Arabidopsis thaliana: one gene and its partners. The protein of the gene in region 4 binds, or shares a complex with, the protein of the main gene of each other region. Each region holds a gene or a part of one and is shown on either strand. Other genes may lie near its edges.

Region 1 (6,070 bases), on a different chromosome or scaffold from region 4:
CTGTCTAGTCGACGTCAAATCGATATTATGTTTCCAAATATTGATTGGTTACCAAAACTGATACGAGAATATTGAATCTCTATGGGCTATGTATGTATATCAGAGTCATGGCTAAGCCATGGGCACATTTTGTAAACACTAATGTTGTAGTTTCAACTTTCAATGGTCTAATTGCTGAACTTCGACATGTTTTTACCATGGCAGCAAAAGGTAGAAGTAGCTGATTACAGGAACAATGATGTCCTTTGAAATGAATGACCGGAAAAGTAAGTTCACATTGTGAGTTCTATAAATATTTTCTGCTATTGGAAGACATACCTGTTACTTAGTTATACTTAATTCTTCTTTTGCTTATCACGTTCTTGAGTTAGTAGATCATTCAATGTCATGTTGTTGTTCGGAACCCCATTTAGTTTCAGTATATCTTATTACCAGGTTACGAAGTTACTCATGCTGTACTTGGATATACTTAAACGTTTCTTATGTGATTTGAAACAGAAATCGGGTTAGGCCTGACAGGATTTGGCGTATTCTTCTCGTTTTTGGGAATAGTCTTCGTCTTTGATAAGGGATTACTTGCCATGGGAAATGTAAGTATCTCATGTATCTTTGTTTCTATACTTTGACCACTATTATTGCATACACGTACAGAACTAGTATGAGAGCTTGTTTCTTTTCATATTTTCTCAGATTCTTTTCATCTCGGGGGTTAGTCTAACCATTGGCTTCAAGTCTACCATGCAGTTCTTCATGAAGCGTCAAAATTATAAGGTTTGTTTCTGTCTTTGTCTACATTATCAATAGCTTGGGCCAGTCTCTGCTGGATTTTTACAGATTTCTACTTAATGTCATCTATGTGTGTTCATTTGGCTTTATATGTTATCCACTCAGGGAACCATCTCTTTTGGCGTCGGTTTCTTCTTTGTTATCATCGGGTGGCCTATCTTGGGAATGATGTTGGAGACCTATGGCTTTTTCGTACTCTTCAGGTACTTTTGCCTATTTTCTTCTTCTTTACTGGTATTGCTTGAGGAAATGTAAACTGATACTAAAAACGTTTTGCTTTTGCAGTGGCTTCTGGCCTACCTTGGCAGTCTTTGCTCAGAAGATACCCGTTCTGGGTTGGATTATTCAGCAACCATATATTAGATCGGTATGTGTCCAATTGCAAACAACTATAGCAAACTTTGCATGAAATTCTTAGATCTCGAATACAACACATACAAAACTCATAATGACTCCCAGTTTTGCCTTTCCAAATTACAGTTGATAATTCTCTCTTTGTTTCTGATGATCTTGAGTTGCTAGGCCTTTTCTCAGTTTGGCTTAACTTTAATAGTAATTCTGTTGCATAGTCTGCCAATTGTTGGCTAATGCGATTACTTTACACTTTTTTTTTATGTGATGTGTAGTTCTTTGACAAGTACCGGGGCAAGCGAGTGCCGGTCTAGTCTTCCATCCCGAGCAGAGAGACGATTCACTGAGCTAGATGCAGCTGAACAGGCGATTAAAGTTTTTGGAAGAAGAAGTTTCGTGATCCTGTAGAAAACTAAAACCATAGGAGAAAGAAAATAGGAAGGAAAAGAACGTACAATTTGAAGCTGTGTGTCTATGTTTCAGGTGAAGTAGATGAATCTTCGTCCAGGTTGCAAATTGCAACAGAATGTTAAAAATGTAATGTTTTATTTTTGGGTTAGTTATAGGTTACACCTCAATTTTGGAAACTAATTAAAGAGAAACAATTGTTTCTATTCACAAAAACTTTTTGTAACCATTACGCATTACATAATTTTAATCATATTGTTATTAACTTAATGGTTCTATTTGACCAAAAACAAAAACTTAGAGGTTATTTGACAAACAGATTACTTAAAGAGGGACCGAAAAATAAAAACACAAAAGAACTGAGTGAATCAACTAAAGGGTAATTCCGGTATTTCAGGAAAGTTTTAAGGACGACCCCTACTAATGGATAAAGTAGAAACCCTAGTTTGAATTTTCACGGCCGACCTCTCTCTCTCATCTACTAAGCTCTCCTCCGAGTATTGTTGGCTTCAGACCAAATCTTCTCCGGCGCTGTAGCGTTTCCCCCGGTACGGATTCATTCACCTCTCTCTCTCTATCGCTCTCCCTCTCTCTATCTCTATCTATCTGTTGTTTTCTCTGAATTTGGTTTCCGTGTTCTTATGAATTCGATGGTTTGGTGTTTCAATTTCGTTAATTTCACTGATAATTGTTGGTCTTTTGGCTCTCTTGAGGTGAATATACTTCGCTATGGTCGTGGGGGTAGTTTCCTTGACTTCAATTAGCTTTTTTATGTCGAATGTTCTTGAGTTGTTTAAGGTGATTTTTGATTAAATTCAGAAGGTCTTATGTTTGTTAGAATCTGTCTTTTATTCATTGTCCTTACTGAGGAAATTTTTTTACTTGCATTGAAAAGAAACATAATTTACCAAGAGGTTCTATGTAACGATGATTTGTGGGTCGATCTGTATTTTAAATAGTCGTTAAAAGTAGAATTTTTGTTGTATGTTTGAAAGGAATAATGGTTTGAGTAAGGAAGAAGAACAAGGTAGATGCATGAGTCTATGTTACATGATGTCATGACACATGCTTTCTTTATGATAGATGGCAAGAGCTTGGAACATGAGCATTGCAATGGTTCATAGGGATATAGAGAGGGATTGGGGAGATCAATGTGGATATTGTTTTTATTATTAATGGAGATTCATGGGAACGATCTGGAGAAATATATATATTTCAATATTTTAAATAGCTTTTGGAGCATATTGGAGCAAATAAGCATTTGGAGCTTGTGGAGCACTGCTCTGACCCAGGATTGCTCTCACTTGGTTTGCTTCATATATATTTTGGTCTTACCATGTTTTCTTTTTCTTTTCTTATCATCGTCTCATTTTGATGCTGGGGCTATGTCGAAAGCTGTTTGAGTGGAGGTTCTTTGTCTATAGCAGTAAATTTTGATCCTTTATTTATTTCGTTTCCTTTTTATTCTCATGTGCAGTTTCCCCTTTTTAACCTTTGCAAACAATGAGTGGGCGATTTTCTCGGTCAATCTATGTTGGTAACTTGCCCGGTGACATTAGGGAACATGAGATTGAAGATATCTTTTACAAGGTCAGTTTTTGGTTATTTGTTTGATTCAGTTACGGGTCCTCTCTTGAATCGTTATCCCTATAAGACAGTGAAGATTCTTGAGCATCTTTTGTATTCATATTTAATGCTCTTGTTTGCAGTATGGCCGCATTGTCGATATTGAATTGAAGGTTCCACCTCGGCCTCCATGTTATTGCTTTGTTGAGGTAAGTGTATTCGCTTACATTACATGTTCCTAACCAACTTTAAATTTCGCTGAACCAAGCTCTGTTGAATGTTTGTAGTTTGAGCATTCTCGGGATGCTGAAGATGCCATCAAGGGCCGTGATGGCTATAATTTGGATGGCTGTCGCTTGAGGGTAATCAGTTACTTCCTTGCTATTTTTTCAGCAGACAATATGGGCTTATGCTTCACATATCCTTACAGCAGAGTCTAAACTTTTCTGGCTGTTTTACATTACCTTGTGATGTTTCTTTTTATTTTTCAATAGTTTCTAATCATTATGAATGCAGGTTGAGCTTGCACATGGTGGTCGAGGACAGTCTTCAAGTGATCGTCGTGGTGGCTACGGTGGTGGTGGCAGCGGCTATGGTGGTGGAGGTGGTGGTGGTGGATCAGCTCGGTTTGGCGTCTCACGACACTCTGAATTCCGAGGTTTGTGTTTCTTGCTAGAAGTTGGTATTATTAAAATTTGGTTTCACTTCACTTCTTCTGATTCTTGGATGGCTATTTTGCAGTTATTGTACGTGGGCTCCCATCATCTGCTTCATGGCAAGATTTGAAGGTCTGATGACACTTAATGTTTTGCTGCAACATTTTGGTTTCTACTCCCTAGTCTTGTTTTTCATATAAAATCCATTTTTTTCAGGATCATATGCGGAAAGCTGGTGATGTGTGCTTTGCTGAGGTGACTCGAGACAGTGATGGTACGTTAATTTACAGTTTCTGATGCATACTTACTTAGCAATATATTTACTTTTTCAGCTTTGAGCAGAGTTTTGTTTGGGATATTATACTTACGTTTTTCTCCCACAACATGACTATTTATAATAATATGATCAGGAACTTATGGTGTTGTCGACTACACCAATTATGATGACATGAAGTATGCAGTAAGTGAACTCTGTGCGTCTCTCTTACTGTATTGCATGCTATGGTTTGTATAATTACTGATGTTCAATAGTTGTGATTTCAGATAAGGAAACTTGATGACACAGAGTTCAGAAACCCCTGGGCTAGAGGTTTTATCCGGGTACCATTTCTCTATGCAGTCTCTTCTTTTTTCCCTCTTTGACCATAATTAACAGATATTAGTTATCTCTCAAGTCTCTCAACATTTTACTTCGTTTGATGCTTCATTCTCTATCTTCCCATTCGTAAAACATCTATGACTTTTGTAGTCTCAATTGGTTAGGCTAATTTAAAATCATGATCTCACAAGTTTGTATTCATCTTATGTCTGTGTTTTCTGCTCATATGCAGGTTAAGAAATATGAAAGCTCCCGATCAAGAAGCAGAAGCCCAAGCAGAAGCAGAAGCAGAAGCAGAAGTCGAAGTCGTAGCCGAGGCCGTGGTCGCAGCCATAGCCGCAGTCGCAGCCTTAGCAGGAGCAAGAGCCCAAGGAAGGATCTGAGGTACTACGTTTGTTATCACTGAACCTTTGTATATCTCCCATTTTCAATACCTAAAAATGGAGTTGTGTGTTTACCAATCTTTATTGCAGTAAATCACCAAGGCGATCCCTTTCCAGATCGATTTCAAAATCTAGATCGCCATCGCCCGACAAGAAGAAGAGTCCCCCCAGGCAAGTCTTCTGCCCTTCTTTTGTGTTCTTTCTCTCAACCATCATGATACTTTTATTCGTTCTTTTATTTCTCCTGTGATTATTGTGACATGTTGCTTTTTACCAATTCAGGGCAATGTCGAGATCAAAGTCCAGGTCCAGGTCCAGATCGAGGTCTCCGTCCAAATCTCCTCCCAAGGTATAGAACTAAGCTGCCTGCGTTTTAGCATCATTTTACCAAGTTATAGGCAAAACACCAAACAGACCAATCTAAAAAAATCTTTTTCTCAGGTTCGCGAAGGCAGTGTGTGATTTTGTTAAGCGGTGAAAATGGCCAAAAGAAAGAGTGCGAAAAATTCTCAAGTCAAGATCCATTCTCTGTGTTTTTTTTTTTGCTGTTTTCGGATAATTGACATTTTCTGCTGTTCTCTGCTTCTTTACTCACAAATGATCATCTTTATACTATTATGACCTGTTATGTTATGGATGTTTCCGTGACCATCACAATACCTCTGAGTTTTGTATTGTTAGTCCTGTTCTTGTTTAAACCCTATGAAGTCTTAGCGAACCTGGATCTCTCATCTAAATTATCAAATATTTAACTGATTTGTATGAAATGGGCATAATATTAAAGAAATCAAATTAAAGTTAAGATATTTGACATGGTTTATAGACGGTCAAATGAGTTGTTTACCTAACAAGGTTCTTCCACAAAGTCGACAAAATTTATATATTTGACATGATCTGTTTGTCGGCATCTTTTAGTATTCCATCACAAACAAAAGTTGAGAATTAGGATGAAGTGCGCATTTCCTTGCATAAGTAGGGATACAACTTCAACATCTTAGGTATAATGTTAAAACATTTTTGTACAAACTTTTAGCTAATATGTATCTTTACAAGAAATATCAGAAGAGAAAATATATCTATCTTAATACGTATTTTTGGATAAATAGTGGCCATATATATAAGGTCCCCAACTTAGAAACGAAACAAGATGTTATAAATTCTTATGTAGCCCGGACCGGCTAAGAGAAAAGTGGGATCATGTACCCATTTAAAAAAAAAGTTTATCTCTTATACTATATGTATAGATTTGGGCCTTTTGTATAATTTTTGAAAAATAGGGCTATAATTGCTTAAAGAAATCTGACTAAAAAATAGGACCCTAT
Region 2 (6,405 bases), on a different chromosome or scaffold from region 4:
CTCGTTGTTTAAAATGAGGTTTAATCAAACCCGCACATTAATAAAGATACAAACTTATCATAGTAGTATGAGTTGTTTCTGTTTTCGTATTACATCTGATTTGATAAGCTCTTTTAGAAAAGATACATATGTAATTGCATGAGAATCTTTAACTTCTTTAAGTACTGGAATAGAACAAGCAGTGGCTGTTTAAGGTAGTTTAATATTGAGAGTAGCGTTTCTTATACAATGCTTACATTATTAGCGGCTGTTGATGATTGTTTTGTTGATTTGCAGCAGCCCTGAATTTTTGTGTTAACACGTGAGTTTGTTTATTTTTCATGTAAGACAGAATGCCTGTAATTCTTGGTGATAAGGATTCAATCGACACATGGTTAGATGATCCCTCGACAACGAAACTGCAGCCATTACTTTCACCATATGAAAAATCGGATTTGGTATGCAATTGCTTACTTCCTCGCATATAAGAGTGGTCTTTCCTTTTTCATTTACTTGAGATTGAAGTTTGAACTTTCAGGTATGGTATCCAGTAACCTCTGCAATTGGTAAACCAACGTTTGATGGACCAGAGTGTATTCAACAGGTACGGTTAACATCTTTCCCTTTCTTAGTAGTGTACAACTCAAATCTCAAGTTTGATCTCAAGTCGCATTAAACATATTGTCAGGATCACTATGTATTTGTACAGTCTGTATGCTTATTGTCATTTCAAATAAGGATTATGCCACCTGCAGATACCGCTAAAGACTTCACAAAATAGCTTGATCTCGAAGTTTTTCTCAACAAAGCAGCCCAAAACAGATGAAGGAGACAAAGAAACCAAATCAACAGATGCAAATATCATAGTTGATTTGAAAAAGGAACCTACGGCTGAAAAGGACACGTTTTCTGACAGCATTAAGAAAATTGAAGAACTAGACGGGGAGAAAGATATGTCGAATGTAGCCAAAAATCTGGAGTTTCAAGAGATTGTGAAAGCAGAACCATTTGTTGAAGATAACTCAGCAGTTGCGTCACTTCCTGAACCTGTAAAGAATGATGTTCAGGAGGGTACAAAGGAAGAAGGCAAATCCCTAAAGACTGGTCTTACTAAAGAAACAGGTGAGAGCAGTGCCAGTATACCGGCTGAGTCCTACATCCTTGATCTCCAAAGAATCTCAAAAGAAGAACCCGAGACTCAAAGCCATCATTTCTTTACTGCAGATGAGAGATTGAATCAGCTGCATGAGGCTGTCGAAGATATTCCAGGAAATGAAAACCAGAAGACAGTTTTAACTAGCCCGACGACGAAGGAAGGTGGCTTAGTGTTTAGCGAAAAGAGTGGGACAAAGCGAGACTATGAGGTATTCTCAGCTCAAGAAAAGCCACAGAAACACTATGAGAGGTTGCAAAATGTTAAAAGCAGTGGGAAACAAGGAAAGATGCATGGAATGGGGAAATCTAACATCAAGAAATCTAAGGAGACGCAGTCTACATTACATTTCTTTTTCGATGAGAAATAGTTTTGAGTCTACATAACATCTATGAGGACCATGTTGGCCTACTTTTGTTGTAGATAATGTTAGATAAGACCATCGTTTTGGGAATGTTGCTTGTATTGTATGTGTAGTGTTTGATCTTTGATCTAAGGTAATATTATTATGAATGAATTGGGTTTTTAATGTCCTTGGTGGATGGTAAAAATTTGTGAACCAGGTTTCGATAATCAAACCCGGTCGCTAAACGATTTTATCGGTTTAAATTAGATCCGGTTTCTAAATTAAACATCGAATTCTAATTTCCCCTGACCAGAACCACCAACGCTTTGAAATCGAAACAGACACAGATATCATCAGAACGAAGAACTTCAGCCAAAATCTGATTTTTCTCTGTTTCACGACAAGAAATCGAATTAACGAAATCTAATGAAACCTTCAAAATCGCATCACAAGGAGAAAACCGCTCGTCGGAGGTCAGAAATCTTCATTTTCCTCTCTCCCCTTTTCTTCAAAAGCTAGGGTTTTTACACAAAAACATCAAAACTCGTCACTTTTCCTTCACAGAGAGGAGAAACTAGAGGAATCCGATAATCCAAAATACAGAGATCGTGCTAAAGAAAGAAGAGAGAATCAAAATCCTGATTATGATCCATCAGAGCTTAGTTCTTTCCATGCCGTTGCTCCTCCCGGAGCTGTCGATATCCGGTAGCACTTGTCTTTCCTCGATTACTTCATTATCTTTCTAAATTCTAATTGGGTTTCTCTAAATTTCTGTTGCTGTGTACTTTTTTTTGTTGTAGTGCTGCTGATGCACTTAAGATATCTATTGAGAACAGCAAATATCTTGGAGGTTTGTGTTAGGTTTACAAATTTATTCAAAATGTTTTTTTTTTGAGGTGCTTATGTTGTTTTTATGATATGGTTTAGGTGATGTTGAACATACCCATTTAGTTAAGGGTTTGGATTATGCTTTGTTGAATAAAGTACGAAGCGAAATCGTTAAGAAACCTGATGGTGAAGATGGTGATGGTGGGAAGACTAGGTAGATTTGGTTATACTTGGTTTATTGACTCATTTGGCTTCTTTGATTCAAGTGCTAATTTTACTATATTAACAGTGCGCCTAAGGAAGATCAGCGAGTTACTTTCCGTACCATAGCTGCAAAGGTATGCAATTTTGTTCTGAACTTTGCAGATGAGGAGCAAGTTTTGGGATGTAGTTAACGCGCTTGATGTTTTTTGTTTCTCTTGTCTTTGATCTGTTTCAGTCAGTTTACCAGTGGATTGTTAAGCCTCAGACTATCATCAAGTCTAATGAGATGTTTCTTCCCGGTAGAATGACATTTGTCTATGATATGGTATTGCTTGTTAACTCTTTTTCAGGAAGATTCAATCTTATTACATGTTCTTATGTCGTTGTTTGTCTTAGGAAGTAGTCATACATGTGTATTCTGCTTCAACGATTCTTCTTCGAGTATTAGTTAATATTTAGTTAAATCTTCGCTTCTAGTTTAAATACATGTCTCAGGAAAATTTTAAGAAGGTAGCTTAAGCTGTTTTGCATTACCTTGTTAGCGATTTATTCACGATTTAATCTATTTGTTAGAAACCTTATACGCAGAATTGGTTGTAAAGGTTTTTTAGTTCGATTAACGTGTCTGCTCTTCTTGAAGAAGCATATTCTTTTTCTCTTGCAGATAGAGACACCATACGACAAGAAAAGTCAGTTGAATATACTATTGATATTTGGTAGTGTTACGTATGAAGTTTCCTTTGAGATACTTAGTCTCAGCTAAGCTGCTAGGCTAAGCTTATAGTATGGGTTTAGTCTGCCCTTTGAAAGCCTCCCTGTTGATGTATATTAATTTTATTCCCTTTTGTTTTTAATTCTATTTGTTGCTTTTCAGGAAGGTGGCTATACCCATGACATACCGACCACGTTATATAGGAGTAAAGCTGACTGCCCGGTGCCCGAGGTATGTATACTTAGAGTCCTTGTTGTAATAGTCTTCTTGATCCTGGAAAAATCTTTAGACTGTAAGCAGTGATGTGACATGATCGTTTTGATTCTAATGAAAATAAGCCCACTCTGCCTGTCTCTGCAACCTATTTTCTTTTACAGTGTTGATGTATTCAATACAGCTAATATCGATTATATAAGTCATTAGTTTTGGTAGAAGCATAGATTTTCTTTAAGTAATTATAAAAATCTTTTTAAACTAAATTCAACTTTCTTTCTACTAATCTGGAACCAAAATTAACGTTGCTTAATATGTTTGTTTACTGAACATAATAAAAATTTATAATTGAAATCACTGCTGCAATTTTTGCGAGAATTGTTTCATTTAACAGGCACTGTTTCTCTGTCCTATCTCCCCAACAGGAATTTGTCACAGTCAATGTTGATGGTTCTGTGCTAGATCGAATTGCTAAAATCATGTCATATCTTCGCCTTGGGTCGTCGGGGAAAGTTCTCAAGAAGAAAAAGAAAGAAAAAGATGGGAAAGGTATTTTGCATCTACTGGTGCATTTTTTTGTAAAGTTTAAGTATTAGCAGACCTGATTCACTTACACTGGTTAAATAAGTTCTCTGCTTTTCCCGAAATTTGTTAATTATCTGGTCTTACAGTTTGGAGCCAAGAATGTAAAGAGTGTACCTAGTCTTTGACCACAGTACTAGTAGTATCTACTGATGTCTGGTTGTGTTCTCGCTTATCAATTGTGAAGAAATTTAGTTGTATCATAAATATGTTGCTGCCGTCCCTTGATGGTTCTGTAAACTCTGTTGTTAGTAATTTTTATTATGCTAATGTGGTGCCAGTACATGTTGTAGTTCTTGTTTCACATCAGCATACAATTGGATACAAGTTGGCTGGTTTCTGATTCTTTAGCAAGATAATTTGCTAATTTCTATTCTATCATACGTTCATGCATTTTTTATATTATTTTGCCTTATTAATCACATCCACTGCAACTTTTCAAATGCAGGAAAGATGTCAACTATTGCTAATGATTATGATGAAGACGACAATAAATCTAAGATTGAGAATGGATCTTCTGTGAACATAAGTGACAGGGAAGTTTTACCTCCTCCTCCGCCATTACCACCTGGGATAAACCATCTGGATTTGAGTACGAAACAAGAAGAACCCCCTGTTGCCAGGACAGACGATGATGACATATTTGTTGGTGAAGGCGTCGATTACACGGTTCCTGGTAAAGATGTGACACAGAGTCCTATTTCTGAGGACATGGAAGAATCTCCCAGGGATAAGGAGAAAGTATCTTATTTCGATGAGCCTGCTTATGGTCCAGTGCAGGAGAAGGTACCTTATTTCGCTGAGCCTGCTTATGGTCCAGTGCAGCCATCTGCTGGTCAGGAATGGCAAGATATGGTCAGTTCACCCTAGCTAATCCTTGGTTGTATTTATTCTCAAATCTTGATCCTCGTCTGCAAATTTTGCGTCTTGGTATGTAGTTATTAGATGTCATTTATTCCCATATTTAGGTTTTTTCTGGTGGTTGTGTGTTTTTCCAGAGTGCATATGGTGCAATGCAAACTCAAGGACTGGCTCCTGGGTACCCCGGAGAGTGGCAGGAATACCAATATGCAGAGCAAACTGGGTATCAGGAGCAGTACCTTCAACCTGGAATGGAGGGTTACGAGGTCCAACCAGAAACCGATGTTTTACTAGATCCTCAACTCATGTCGCAGGAAGAGAAAGATAGGGGTTTGGGATCGGTTTTCAAGCGTGATGACCAAAGGCTTCAACAGTTGAGGGAGAGTGACGCAAGGGAGAAAGATCCAACTTTTGTATCCGAGAGTTATTCAGAGTGTTATCCAGGTTACCAAGAGTACAACCATGAGATTGTCGGTAGTGATGAAGAACCTGATTTGTCTAAAATGGACATGGGTGGAAAGGTATGCCCTGACTTAATTACATGTTCCTTGTTATTTATTGTGGAAGAGCAAAATTACAGTATCTGGTTGTTGAATGTACATGGAACAGGCAAAGGGTGGTTTACATCGATGGGACTTTGAGACAGAAGAGGAATGGGAAAAATATAATGAGCAGAAGGAAGCGATGCCAAAAGCGGCGTTCCAATTCGGGGTAAAGATGCAAGATGGTCGAAAGACAAGGAAGCAGAACCGTGACCGTGACCAGAAGCTCAATAATGAACTTCACCAGATCAATAAGATACTTACGAGAAAGAAGATGGAGAAGGAGGGTGGGGATGTTGCTTCTTTGGATGCCGCCGAGGCACAAACTCCTAAGAGATCCAAGCATTGATTTGTCTCTTGTCTACTCCAGTCATTCTCTCGTAATCTATTTTGTATCTTCAAGTCTGTTTAGGTTTTTGGTACCTTGAGTTCAAATTCTTAATTTAGAAAAGATTTTACGTCCAAATTTTGAAATGATAGCATTCTTATTTCCTAATTACCCATTAAACACGAAGCAGTTTTGGGAGTTGGGACAGCCTTAGGTTTTAGGTTTAGCATCACCAAAAATGAGACGCTTCAGTAACCAACCCAACAAGACAAGCAAAAAACTAGAAAAATCATAAAACCCTAATCAGAAAAATGGCCACAGATTCCATGAATGCAGCCACCGTCAATGACTCCGACCGTTTCATCTTCTCCACACCTCTCTCCGCTCGTGGTTCAACCAAACGTGACGCCATCTCCGTCGAGGATCTTGGCCAATACACTCTTCTCAAACTCCATTCAAATCCGGTTTCACAAACTACATAGATCTTGGCCAATACAACGACGAAGATGACGATGTAAGAATCCTCTGTTTCACACCAATCTCCATAGAAAAGGGACAGTCCTCTGTTTGACCAATACAACGACGAAGACGCTCTTTCGACTGCGAGATATGTGTTGAACGAAAACCAAGGATTGAATCTTTTCGAATCAATGGCTG
Region 3 (5,287 bases), 4.3 Mb from region 4:
TTATATCTCTCTCTCTTTTTTTTCTTTTCAGGTAGATTCTTTTTCAAGTGTGTAGTTAGTATAAAAAGTGAGAGTGAGAATTGGTGTTTATATTGGCCGGAGGAGAGATAACGGATATGTGGGGAGCACACGGAGTTTTTGTCTCTGTGAATGACACGTGTATAGTACATAGCGAAGCAATCCCACGATGTTCCACTCGCTGTCTGACGTGTGTCCTTTGACCCTTGTAAAGAGACTTTTGACTCTTCACTCGTTAACCTTTATGAGTTCTTTAAATTCTATCGAGTGTGTGCCTGTGTGGTTGGCTGGCTGCTGTTGTTACAATCGTTTTTAAATTCCTATGAATAAACAAATTGTCATTAATTGTCACCCGTCTATAACATAATAGACATAAATATCTCTGTGAAATGATATTTTAAATACTCATGTAGTATTTGTATTGGAAGTAGATGTCCTAATATTTAACCAAAAATAATACTACAATATAGAAAAGCTTGATTTTTTAAAAAAATTAATCAGATTTGGTAATGGATAATTATCAATTTCGATGGACGGTTAAAAATGAGTCATAAATGCATATGATGAACAAAATTATTCAGTTTAAACAAACTATAACCAAAAACATGTAAATGGACCAGGACAGGACTAAGCGAAGGATTAGACCAATACAAAATAGCAAGTTATCTTGAATCCCAATAATTCCCACAAAATATCTCAATCTCAATAATAGCTATATTGTATTGACAAAAAAAAGGTATAAAAAATCTTCACAATAAGATATGCATGAAATATATTCGCTGACAAAAATATCTCTCTCGTTACCTCTCGCTCTCACGTTATTGACATTTAGGAGAAAAGAAGACACAACAAAGAGGGAAAAAAAGAGTGGTAAGGTGAAGAAAACAACAAAATTGGCTTTAGTGGAAAATAGAAAGTAAAGCTTGAGAGTGACGTATGGGGCCAGTGAAGGCTGGTGGGGAAGGTAGGGACAGTGTTTCCGCGGCCGAACCACGGGTTTAGAGGATTTTGACGTCCCCACGCATTATCTTGTGGAACCCATCTTTCTGTTTTTGGAAAATCGTACGGACGTTCGTTTTTGAATTATTTGCTGAATCGGGTTGTTTGGGTTTCTACTCTGTTTTGGGATTCTTCAGTGGATTGGACTGGATCTTTTGTAGCTTTTTGTTGGTAGATTTGAGACGCCTCTATTTTATGAATATCTTAATAGCTTTTTGTTGCATATTCAAGCGAGATAAGAAGATAATTGAGGCTTTATGGCATATTTGAAAAGTCGAAACTCGTTCTCATTCCACGTGTGATGATATGTTCGTGGCCACATATCATTCGGCCTTGAAAGCAACTACTAAACTCTTAACATAAGTGAAGCAATCCAATGAAGAGGAAAACAATTTATTTAATTAATTGTAATATATAAATATACACATTTCTTTATAACAACAATTATTAAACTTACTAACAAACTCATATGTTTCATCGAATCCAAAACTTGACATGTGGGATCTTGAGAGTGTTAAGTTGCAAGACTTTTTAAAAACTTGTATGCATTATTCATTGTGTAGATGTTATGTGATACATGTTCTAGTTCTATTAATCAGTATATTCTAATCAAAATTAAAAAATCTAATATTTGTTTGTCTTCATAATCTGTTATTGTTTTGTTTTTTTAGAAAGCAGCTTCAATTTTGTTTACTTGTTGGGCTTCTTATAATTTGTTTAACATATAGGCCCAATACTCCTAAAAAGTAGACGTTCTCGACTTCTCGTCCTTCAGACAAAATAAGAAAGTCAAAATGTGTTCTGAAAAAAATATCTTTGAAACTAAAAAGAAAAGAAAATAAAATAAAAATCCAAATGATCTCTCTTGCCTTCTTTATCTAAATCGTACCTAACTCTGTTTTCAGTTTCACCTATCTCTCGACGCGAGCTTCTTCTTCTTCTAGGGCTTCCACGCGACTACGCCTGCCAAAATCATTCTACAGGTAAATTGATGCAGTTTATTCACTCTCTATATCGTCGTGGTTCTCATCTCCTTCTTCCTTCTTTTTTTTTTGGTTGGTGAAAAGTAGAACAAGAGAATTGGTCCATCTCGTTTTTTATAAGTTGAATCTCATCAGAGCCTTCTTTGTTTTTCTGGTATGAAAGATTCATGCTTTCGTGGATTGTTCTCGTTTTCTCTATCTTGTGAATGATATTCAGATCTAACTGTAGTTAGATTAGATCTGTTGCATTGTACTTTTGATTCTAATACTGTCTAGTTCAGTTCCTAGATTTAACTGATTTGGAGCTCGAATAGATGAGTTTCAAGTCCTAATTTACTGCAAAACAATTCGATTTAGTGTGAGGGCTCTAGTTTTTAGTGTTAAAAGTTTTCATCTTGGTGACAAATTAGTTGTGATATTCGTGTTTAAATTATCATTTAAGGAAGTCTCATGAATCTTTTTTACTATTGTGGTTGTCTATACAGGAAGCATGAAGCCAGTCTTCTGTGGGAACTTTGAGTATGATGCGCGCGAAGGTGACCTGGAACGACTATTCAGGAAATACGGCAAGGTTGAGAGGGTTGATATGAAAGCTGGTGAGCCTTTTTTTTCTTTCTTTCTTTCTTCTGCCTCTTACTACTCTGTCTTTGTGGTTAACCTGAATGAATTATAATAAGCAGTATTGTTATCCACTAAGTACAATGAAAAAGCGAAATTCAAATGCATTTCATGAAATCCACTCTCGTCTTCATTCCATCCACGAGAAGGCTCTGGTGGACTATCTCCCTTTGGAAGGAGTACTAAACATTGACCACATTCACCTGGCCACCTGATGCAGCCTGCTTGAACTTTGGAAAGTACTTCAGAGGAATAAGATTTTTAGAAAAAAAATTAGTGTAAAACCGCATTTTCTTTGACGCAGGATGTGTTTGATAATCTTGGGACGCCTATACTCACACCTGGCCATGAATGGACCATAGGGAAATCCATCTCTTATCCCTCAAAATCAGTCACTTTCCATCCGCATTAGCACTGCCATCTTAATTGCATTTCATTCCTCATCACTTTGCACACTTGGACATGCCTCTGCAATGGAGAAGGCTCTCTATTTTCATTCATATCCCCGTCTGACTTCCACATTTTCAGTTGTTCCTTGACATATTAATTCCATAATGCAAGGTCTGTAACTGCTTCACTGGTCATTTGGAGTTTTTTTAAGGTTCTAGGAATGTTCAAAATTTAATATGTTCTAGGAGTTAAGTTAGGCGTTGAAGGAGGGAGGACAGTGTTCGTGTATGTTGAAGGTTCTTAATCTGGTCCACTTCCTCACTGTTAATGTACTCAGATCTTTGCTTTTGGCTTTTTCTTTTTTCTCCAGGGTTTGCTTTTGTATACATGGAAGATGAAAGGGATGCGGAAGATGCCATCCGAGCACTTGACCGCTTTGAATTTGGGCGTAAGGGACGCAGACTTCGTGTTGAATGGACAAAGGTAGGATACTTACCCCAGGATTTATTTCTTTCCAGACTTAGTTATGAGGTTTGAAATACTGATAACATAAATGGTTCTGTGTATATAGAGTGAACGTGGAGGTGATAAAAGATCTGGTGGTGGTTCAAGGAGATCCTCATCCAGCATGAGACCTTCCAAGACTCTCTTTGTGATTAACTTTGATGCGGATAATACTAGGACCCGGGATCTAGAGAAACACTTTGAGCCGTATGGAAAGATCGTAAACGTTAGGATCAGGAGGAATTTTGCATTTATCCAGTACGAGGCACAAGAGGATGCCACCAGAGCATTGGATGCTTCAAATAACAGGTTTGTTCTGTCCATTTTAGTATCTAATCACTTTCCTTTCTTAGACTCACGTTTCATCTGTGTTTTCATTCAGTAAGCTGATGGATAAGGTGATCTCGGTGGAGTATGCTGTGAAGGATGATGATGCTAGAGGAAATGGACACAGTCCTGAAAGACGCCGTGATAGGTCACCTGAAAGGAGAAGGCGATCACCTAGTCCTTACAAAAGAGAAAGAGGAAGCCCTGATTATGGCCGAGGAGCTAGTCCTGTTGCTGCCTACAGAAAGGAAAGGACCAGTCCTGACTATGGTCGAAGACGTAGCCCAAGTCCTTACAAGAAATCAAGACGTGGCAGTCCCGAGTATGGTCGTGACCGCAGAGGCAATGATAGCCCTCGCAGGAGGGAGAGAGTCGCAAGCCCTACTAAGTACAGCCGCAGTCCCAACAACAAGAGAGAGAGGATGAGCCCTAATCACAGCCCGTTCAAGAAGGAGAGTCCGAGAAATGGGGTTGGTGAAGTTGAAAGTCCCATTGAAAGGAGAGAGAGATCGAGGTCTAGCCCCGAGAATGGCCAAGTTGAAAGCCCTGGGTCAATAGGAAGAAGAGACAGTGATGGTGGGTATGATGGTGCAGAGAGCCCAATGCAGAAGAGGTTAGATTCTGAAATAGGTCGATACTTGTTTATATATTATTGATGACATGAATCGTAAACCATTTCTCTTGTTGTTGCAGCCGGTCTCCTCGTTCGCCACCAGCTGACGAGTGATAAGAGTGGATCCACAATCTCTATCAAAGTAGGATGTTGTAACTGTTTGTAGTCAACAACGCTATGTCGTCGTGATTAGTTTTTGTCGTTTGGTTTTTGATAGATTCGAACTCGGATCACTTTTATTGTCGGATTGAAAAACTTATGTCAAGTTACTACATTTCCGTTTTTTTTTATCACCTCTCAGTTTGAACCCCAATCATGTAATGCTTTCCCGTGACAATAAGATGCGAACCTCAAAACATCTTGCATCGAAACACCTTGAGAGTGACAAAATCGAACGCATCGTTAAGTAACTTAAATGGTACGCCGAAATTATGGAAGGCAAGAACGGTTCTATTGACTTAATTGGGTCTAAAAACTACTCTAAACGCCTCTTGTCAACGTTCGAACTAGTCCCTAACCTTTGACTCAAATATAAATATTGGCTACAAATAGACTTATAGTTCTGCCTACATTGGTCGTCTGCTTTAGTATATTTGTTACCAAGTAAAATGCTGCTGTAGAGTTTAATGATCTCTTTGTCTACTGGGTTTCTCCAATTTTCTGATCGTTGGGATTCGTGCAAGTCGAGAGAGTCTACTTGGTTGAAACTTTCTGGGTTTTGATTTGAGTTGCCCATTGGATTTGAAGTTTTAGTCTTTTGTTGGTAAGTTTTACCCTTTGAGATATGCTCGTCTGATAGTATAGGGCTTTCGAGTGTTATGAAAAATTCGCCTTT
Region 4 (6,254 bases):
GTATCTGTATTCCATGGATGCAGGATCCTTGCTTTGGTGCCTATTCGAGTATCACAGATCTAATGTTTGGTTTTGATGAGACAATTCTCCAGTCAGCTTTTGGGGTATGTCTTAATCTGCCGATGAATAAGTTACGAATTGTCTATATCTTACTTGGGAAGCAAGATAGGAATTGTGTATATCTTACTTCCCAACTTACTCTAGTAGAGGATATTTTGGGTTGTATTAAGTGATATATTAAATTCAATGGTTTTAATTAGGTTCCTGAGGGGATTATAGAGCTGATGAGGAACCGTACGAAGCCACCATTGATCGTGAGTGAGACGCTTTGCACACCAGGTGTGGCCAACACTTGGCAGCTCCAACCGCGATTACTAAAGCTCTTTGCTGGAAGTGCAGACTTGGTGGATAACAAGAAGAAGAAAGAGAAGAAAGAGAAGAAGGAGAAGGTGAAGAAAGCGAAGACATTCAATGTTTTCGAATCTGAACCGGATTTCGAGAGCCCCTACGGTCGTACTATAACGATTAACAGGAAGGATCTGAAAGTTTTAAAAGGCTCAATGGTTGGAGTTTCCATGGTGAATCTCACTCAAGGATCGATGATGGGACCGCACTGGAATCCATGGGCTTGCGAGATTTCGATTGTATTGAAAGGAGCAGGAATGGTTAGGGTTCTTAGGTCTTCGATATCATCAAACACATCATCAGAGTGTAAGAACGTGAGGTTTAAAGTAGAGGAAGGAGATATTTTCGCAGTTCCACGGTTACATCCAATGGCTCAAATGTCTTTCAACAATGACTCGTTAGTGTTCGTTGGGTTTACTACTTCAGCTAAGAATAACGAGCCGCAGTTCTTAGCCGGGGAGGACTCGGCTTTGCGGATGCTTGACCGGCAAGTATTGGCTGCATCGCTTAATGTGAGTAGTGTGACGATTGATGGATTGTTGGGAGCTCAGAAGGAAGCTGTTATCTTGGAATGTCATTCTTGTGCGGAAGGAGAGATAGAGAAGCTTAAGGTGGAGATAGAGAGGAAGAAAATAGATGATGAGAGGAAGAGGAGACATGATGAAAGGAAGAAAGAAGAAGAAGAGGCGAAGAGAGAAGAGGAAGAGAGGAGGAAACGTGAAGAAGAAGAAGAGAAGAAGCGGTGGCCACCTCAACAACCACCACAAGAAGAAGAACTTAGGGAACGGCAACTACCGATGGAGAAAGAATGGGAAATGGAAGGTGAAGAGGAGAGTTAAGCCGGAGGAGTAAAAGAGAAGGCCAACGTACGTCAAGAGTGTGTTTGGTTTGTTGTTAGTGGTTAGAACTTTGGTTCTGACCTCTCTTGTAACTTTTTTTTTCCATAGTCTTGTTTATTTGTTAATGTACTTTTGCATTGTTTTTGTTGTTGCCATGTTTAAAGTTGTATTGTGTTTGTATAATGTTTTGTTTTGTTTAAATCTTTGTAGATGGTAAATGAGAAATAAGTAAATATTTCCGAGAGACTGTTGAGTGACGACGTTACTTCTTGTTATTGATAACTCTGTGGTTTATTATACACTTGTAGTAGTAGTCGTACTTGCTAACTTATGTCATTTGGTTTACAATTGTATAATGTATTTGTAACCCTCTTGCTATAGCTTCGGCATATTAAAGTTTTGAATGGTGATAACGGAGGAGTCGTAGATAATGCAATCAACTTCCCATGCTCTGTTCTCTTGTTGTTGCAAGAGATATTGGAATAAAAGGCAAATTTATCTCAAACACAGATTGGGCCATATCTTGAAAAGGCAAATTCATAAAACTCTCAAAAAGTAGATTTATCCCAAACACGAATTGGGCCAACTATTGGACCGGATGCGCTGAATAATGGGCCTTATCAGATTTGGACCGGCCTGTTTTTATATGACATTTACAAAAATACCCTCACAGGAGGTCCCGTGTTGGCTATAAAAAAATAGAATAATCCGTAATTGCCCTAAAATAGTTTGGTTTCTGCATCCACCCCTTTCTTCGAATCTCGACGGCTGAAACAGATTCTAAATTTATCTCCGGTGAGAAAGAGATAGAGAGCGTTGATTCCGGCGAAAAGATGTCTGAATTCGAAGATCACGAGGGAAACGGTACGGTTGCTGACGCGATTTACGACGAAGAGAATGGTGGCCGCGACGGCGAAATCGAGGATCAATTGGACTCGAAACCCAAGGTAATTTCCCCCCTGATTATCTTCAATCTCCTAGCTTATAGTTGGAGTTTCGAATCTATATTTCCTAGCAATTGGATTGAATTGAGAATCGAATTATGAGATGATTAGTTTTAAAGCTGCTTCTGTTTCATTGATTCTTAAACTGTAATTGATGAGGTTTTGGGTGTGTTTACATGTGCAGAGAGAATCGCGTGACCATGAAAGAGAGACATCAAGAAGTAAAGATAGAGAAAGAGAGAAGGGTCGTGATAAGGACAGAGAAAGAGACTCTGAAGTCTCTCGCCGAAGCAGGGATAGAGATGGAGAGAAAAGCAAGGAGAGGAGTAGAGACAAAGACAGAGATCATCGTGAGCGTCATCACAGAAGTAGTCGTCACAGGGATCATAGCAGGGAGCGTGGTGAAAGAAGAGAACGTGGTGGTAGGGATGATGATGATTACCGTCGAAGCCGTGATCGTGACCATGATAGGTAGACTGTTCTTGAATTGAATTATACATTTTCAATTTAGATTGAATCCTTTTTGATTTTATGGAAGGTACTGATTTGGCTTATTTTTTATTCTTCTAGGCGGAGAGATGATAGAGGAGGAAGACGCAGTCGTCGATCTCGATCTCGTTCAAAGGATAGATCTGAGCGCAGAACAAGGTCACGATCTCCATCGAAAAGGTAGCATTTTTTTCTCATTGGATTACTTACTCTTCTATGAAGTAATTGCTTCAATCTAAGAAAGTTTCTAACCTCACTCAATATATGTTGTTGCAGTAAGCAGCGAGTCAGTGGATTCGATATGGCACCTCCAGCCTCTGCAATGTTAGCTGCTGGTGCTGCTGTTACAGGTATATCTCTTTAATTTAGCACCTTCTCATTAGCATAATGTAGAATTCATACCTAATACACGTACTGGGATTGATAAAATCTGTTTCTCCTGAATAACTACAAAAACATAGGCTGTTTTCTTTCTTTTTTTACTTGGGACATAACGCTAGAACTGAGAGCTTTTGGTTGTTTGGTGGTCTTTGTGTCTCTTGTTTGCTTTTCTGTTTTGGTAAGGCAACACTGGGTGTGGGCTGGTTAGCTCTTATATACAAGGAAGAATTACTGCGTATGGGTATTGCTCATCCTCAGTACATATCACTGGTTTTGTTAGTCTTGCAAAAATTTTCCATGCAGACTTAAACCTCTTGATGTCACCAATACATTTCCAGGGATGGTAAACTAGGTTTTCTCATATGTAATTTTCTTATGTATTAACCTGTTTTTCTTTTGTAGGCCAAGTTCCTCCCGCTCCACCAACTCTTCCTGGGGCTGGAATGTTTCCCAACATGTTTCCATTGCCGACTGGACAGGTCTGTGGTCTTTCCCTTTTAATATTTTCTTAATTGATGTCTTTCTTGAACTAAGTCGTCTATGTCCTACAGTCATTTGGGGGACTCTCTATGATGCCAATTCAGGCTATGACACAGCAGGTTAGATTTTATTTATCATGGATATACGCAAGATACTATGTATTTCTCTGTTCTAATTTAATCCTTATTTACTTTGTGTCTTCAGGCAACTAGACATGCTCGCAGAGTCTATGTCGGTGGGCTTTCCCCTACGGCAAATGAACAGGTTATTATCCACTTTCTTTTTTCATTTTCTCCCACTGAAATATGTTTCAGCAAATAATGATACTAACATTGATTTATTATTTTGTATTTGCAGTCTGTGGCTACATTTTTTAGTCAAGTTATGGCTGCTGTTGGTGGAAACACTGCTGGTCCAGGTACATAATCCTGGTGCAGATGCTAGAGTGTCTATTATGATACTTGGATTAATCTTTTTTTATAAATCTTTTTTCTTACTCGCAGGTGATGCAGTTGTTAATGTCTACATAAACCACGAGAAGAAGTTTGCTTTTGTGGAGATGCGATCTGTTGAAGAGGCAAGTAACGCTATGTCTTTGGATGGGATTATATTTGAGGTATGTTTTAATGTTTACCGCACTACCAAATATTTGGTTGAGTTTTAGTACTGGCATTTCTTTGGTATATAGGTTACCCAACTGAATGCTTATCTTTCTTTTTCTTTTTTTCTTTTCCAGGGAGCTCCGGTGAAGGTGAGGAGACCTAGTGACTATAACCCATCTCTAGCTGCGACTCTTGGTCCAAGCCAGCCCAGTCCCCATCTAAACTTAGCTGCTGTTGGTCTGACTCCAGGTGCTTCTGGTGGGCTTGAGGGACCAGATCGTATTTTTGTTGGTGGACTTCCATATTACTTCACGGAATCACAAGTGAGGGAGTTGTTGGAGTCCTTTGGAGGCCTCAAGGGCTTTGATCTTGTAAAAGATCGAGAAACAGGGAACTCTAAAGGATATGCCTTTTGTGTGTACCAAGATCTTTCTGTTACAGATATCGCGTGCGCTGCCCTAAATGGTATCAAGATGGGAGATAAGACTCTTACAGTGAGACGTGCCAACCAGGGAACAATGCTACAAAAGCCTGAACAAGAGAACGTATTATTGCATGCACAGCAGCAAATAGCTTTTCAGGTAATTTTTTTTCTTCTTAATAATATTGGAAGAAAACAAAATGAGCTTGCAAAACGTGTTGAGACCTAACTTGAATATTTCCATTTATAAGATTAAAAGACTGATTGATGGTTTTATCTTTTGCAGAGGGTTATGTTACAGCCTGGTGCAGTGGCAACCACTGTGGTGTGTCTGACTCAAGTTGTTACTGAGGATGAGCTTAGAGATGATGAGGAGTATGGAGATATAATGGAAGACATGAGACAGGAAGGCGGAAAGTTTGGTAAGAGACCTCTTAATTGCGCAATATGGTCTATTTTGAAATATAAGATTAAAAGCATATTGATCTGTCTCTCTGTTTTCTTGGTTGTGCTGTTTTACAGCCTTTTGCTATAAAGAATCAGCCCTAACATACACAGACAGGAGACTGCATAAACCTCCTAATCTATTTATCACCAATGGCCACTATTTCTTAAAAGAAAAAACTGACTTGTTTTTGTCTGTGTTTTCTTGTCTTGTATTCGAAATGTTTTGTTCTTTAACTCTTAAAATGCAGGTGCTTTGACCAATGTTGTGATTCCGCGTCCAAGCCCCAATGGTGAGCCAGTGGCAGGCCTTGGCAAGGTAAACTTATCTCTCTCTCTTTCTCTCTACTTCTTGTATATTTCTATTTAGTCGTAATCTGACTGTCTGATATATTTAATGTGCAGGTGTTTTTGAAGTATGCCGATACAGATGGCTCGACTAGGGCAAGATTCGGGATGAATGGTAGGAAATTTGGAGGAAATGAAGTCGTTGCAGTGTATTACCCTGAAGACAAGTTTGAACAGGGTGATTATGGAGCCTGATCACTTCTTTGTTTGCTTTCTATTACTTAAAAGTTAAGTACTTTGCTTCAGTTTCAAGACCCTTTTGCGTGATTGTAAGAGTATGAGATTATCGACACGTTGCTTATTATAACGTTTTTATCTCATATCTTTGGTCTATTTCTTAAATATTTATCTCAAAAATTATTCACAGAATAACATCATGAGTCCCTCGTAAAACATCATTCGTCTCTCGTAAATGTGACATATGTTCTAAATCAACACAAGAAGTTGAGTACTCTCTCTATTGAAATATTCAAGTAGTTTGGTTCTCTTCTGATAGAAGAAAAAAGAAAGAAAAAGAAGCAAACTTGTAAAACCCAAAAATCTCTGTTAAGCCACTAAAACCCTAAAGGCGTCTCCTTTTCTCGCCACCACTCTCCACAATACCCATTTCTGCAAAATGGCTTCTTCTCGTATTTCTCTCCGCCTTGTTCGCCGATTTGCCTCAGCCGCCGCTGACGGTACGACCACCGCTCCCTCTTCAGGCAAAATCTCTGTCTCCAAAGCTAAGTCCACTCTCCGGAAAGAACACGATCCCGACAAAGCTCTTAAGATCTACGCCAATGTCTCCGATCACTCAGCCTCTCCTGTTTCATCTCGCTACGCCCAAGAGCTCACTGTTCGTCGCCTCGCCAAGTGTCGCCGTTTCTCAGACATCGAAACCCTAATTGAATCCCACAAAAAT

Evidence for each region.
Region 1: ATU2AF65A (region 4) and SR34a share a complex: the UniProt entries of both Arabidopsis thaliana proteins name them as parts of the spliceosome.
Region 2: ATU2AF65A (region 4) and SMU2 share a complex: the UniProt entries of both Arabidopsis thaliana proteins name them as parts of the spliceosome.
Region 3: ATU2AF65A (region 4) and RS40 share a complex: the UniProt entries of both Arabidopsis thaliana proteins name them as parts of the spliceosome.

Annotation. Positions count from the first base shown.
Region 1 is NC_003074.8:18,329,620-18,335,689, forward strand, and holds SR34a (SER/ARG-rich protein 34A), read left to right. Parts: upstream 1-1,889; 5' UTR 1,890-2,093; exon of another isoform or gene 2,094-3,022; 5' UTR 3,023-3,048; coding exon 3,049-3,135; intron 3,136-3,254; coding exon 3,255-3,320; intron 3,321-3,398; coding exon 3,399-3,473; intron 3,474-3,627; coding exon 3,628-3,769; intron 3,770-3,852; coding exon 3,853-3,899; intron 3,900-3,983; coding exon 3,984-4,041; intron 4,042-4,177; coding exon 4,178-4,227; intron 4,228-4,310; coding exon 4,311-4,367; intron 4,368-4,597; coding exon 4,598-4,749; intron 4,750-4,838; coding exon 4,839-4,919; coding exon of another isoform or gene 4,920-4,998; exon of another isoform or gene 4,999-5,030; coding exon 5,031-5,097; intron 5,098-5,189; coding exon 5,190-5,210; 3' UTR 5,211-5,535; downstream 5,536-6,070. Other genes in the region: AT3G49420 (Got1/Sft2-like vescicle transport protein family), read left to right, coding at 236-266, 499-590, 691-771, 892-989, 1,072-1,153, 1,413-1,451. UniProt on the Arabidopsis thaliana protein: Probably involved in intron recognition and spliceosome assembly.
Region 2 is NC_003071.7:11,254,413-11,260,817, reverse strand, and holds SMU2 (RED family protein), read left to right. Parts: upstream 1-1,747; 5' UTR 1,748-1,904; coding exon 1,905-1,951; intron 1,952-2,042; coding exon 2,043-2,183; intron 2,184-2,278; coding exon 2,279-2,328; intron 2,329-2,405; coding exon 2,406-2,520; intron 2,521-2,595; coding exon 2,596-2,644; intron 2,645-2,745; coding exon 2,746-2,835; intron 2,836-3,384; coding exon 3,385-3,453; intron 3,454-3,860; coding exon 3,861-3,984; intron 3,985-4,465; coding exon 4,466-4,872; intron 4,873-5,015; coding exon 5,016-5,399; intron 5,400-5,487; coding exon 5,488-5,769; 3' UTR 5,770-5,886; downstream 5,887-6,405. Other genes in the region: AT2G26470 (embryonic stem cell-specific 5-hydroxymethylcytosine-binding protein), read left to right, coding at 328-437, 518-583, 735-1,502. UniProt on the Arabidopsis thaliana protein: Auxiliary spliceosomal protein involved in splicing of specific pre-mRNAs that affect multiple aspects of development.
Region 3 is NC_003075.7:13,022,678-13,027,964, forward strand, and holds RS40 (arginine/serine-rich splicing factor 35), read left to right. Parts: upstream 1-1,820; 5' UTR 1,821-2,000; intron 2,001-2,087; exon of another isoform or gene 2,088-2,154; intron 2,155-2,277; exon of another isoform or gene 2,278-2,485; 5' UTR 2,486-2,490; coding exon 2,491-2,596; exon of another isoform or gene 2,597-3,172; coding exon of another isoform or gene 3,173-3,179; exon of another isoform or gene 3,180-3,335; coding exon of another isoform or gene 3,336-3,378; coding exon 3,379-3,491; intron 3,492-3,579; coding exon 3,580-3,821; intron 3,822-3,894; coding exon 3,895-4,452; intron 4,453-4,532; coding exon 4,533-4,566; 3' UTR 4,567-4,763; downstream 4,764-5,287. Other genes in the region: AT4G25510 (uncharacterized protein), read right to left, coding at 4,766-4,826, 4,971-5,287. UniProt on the Arabidopsis thaliana protein: Required for constitutive and alternative pre-mRNA splicing. Involved in primary miRNA processing and pri-miRNA biogenesis. Binds both intronless and intron-containing pri-miRNAs.
Region 4 is NC_003075.7:17,293,433-17,299,686, reverse strand, and holds ATU2AF65A (U2 snRNP auxilliary factor, large subunit, splicing factor), read left to right. Parts: upstream 1-1,958; 5' UTR 1,959-2,077; coding exon 2,078-2,191; intron 2,192-2,372; coding exon 2,373-2,659; intron 2,660-2,758; coding exon 2,759-2,857; intron 2,858-2,953; coding exon 2,954-3,027; intron 3,028-3,460; coding exon 3,461-3,537; intron 3,538-3,609; coding exon 3,610-3,657; intron 3,658-3,742; coding exon 3,743-3,802; intron 3,803-3,895; coding exon 3,896-3,956; intron 3,957-4,041; coding exon 4,042-4,154; intron 4,155-4,274; coding exon 4,275-4,721; intron 4,722-4,847; coding exon 4,848-4,983; coding exon of another isoform or gene 4,984-5,256; coding exon 5,257-5,324; intron 5,325-5,410; coding exon 5,411-5,548; 3' UTR 5,549-5,740; downstream 5,741-6,254. Other genes in the region: AT4G36700 (RmlC-like cupins superfamily protein), read left to right, coding at 24-104, 261-1,244; AT4G36680 (Tetratricopeptide repeat (TPR)-like superfamily protein), read left to right, coding at 5,970-6,254. UniProt on the Arabidopsis thaliana protein: Necessary for the splicing of pre-mRNA.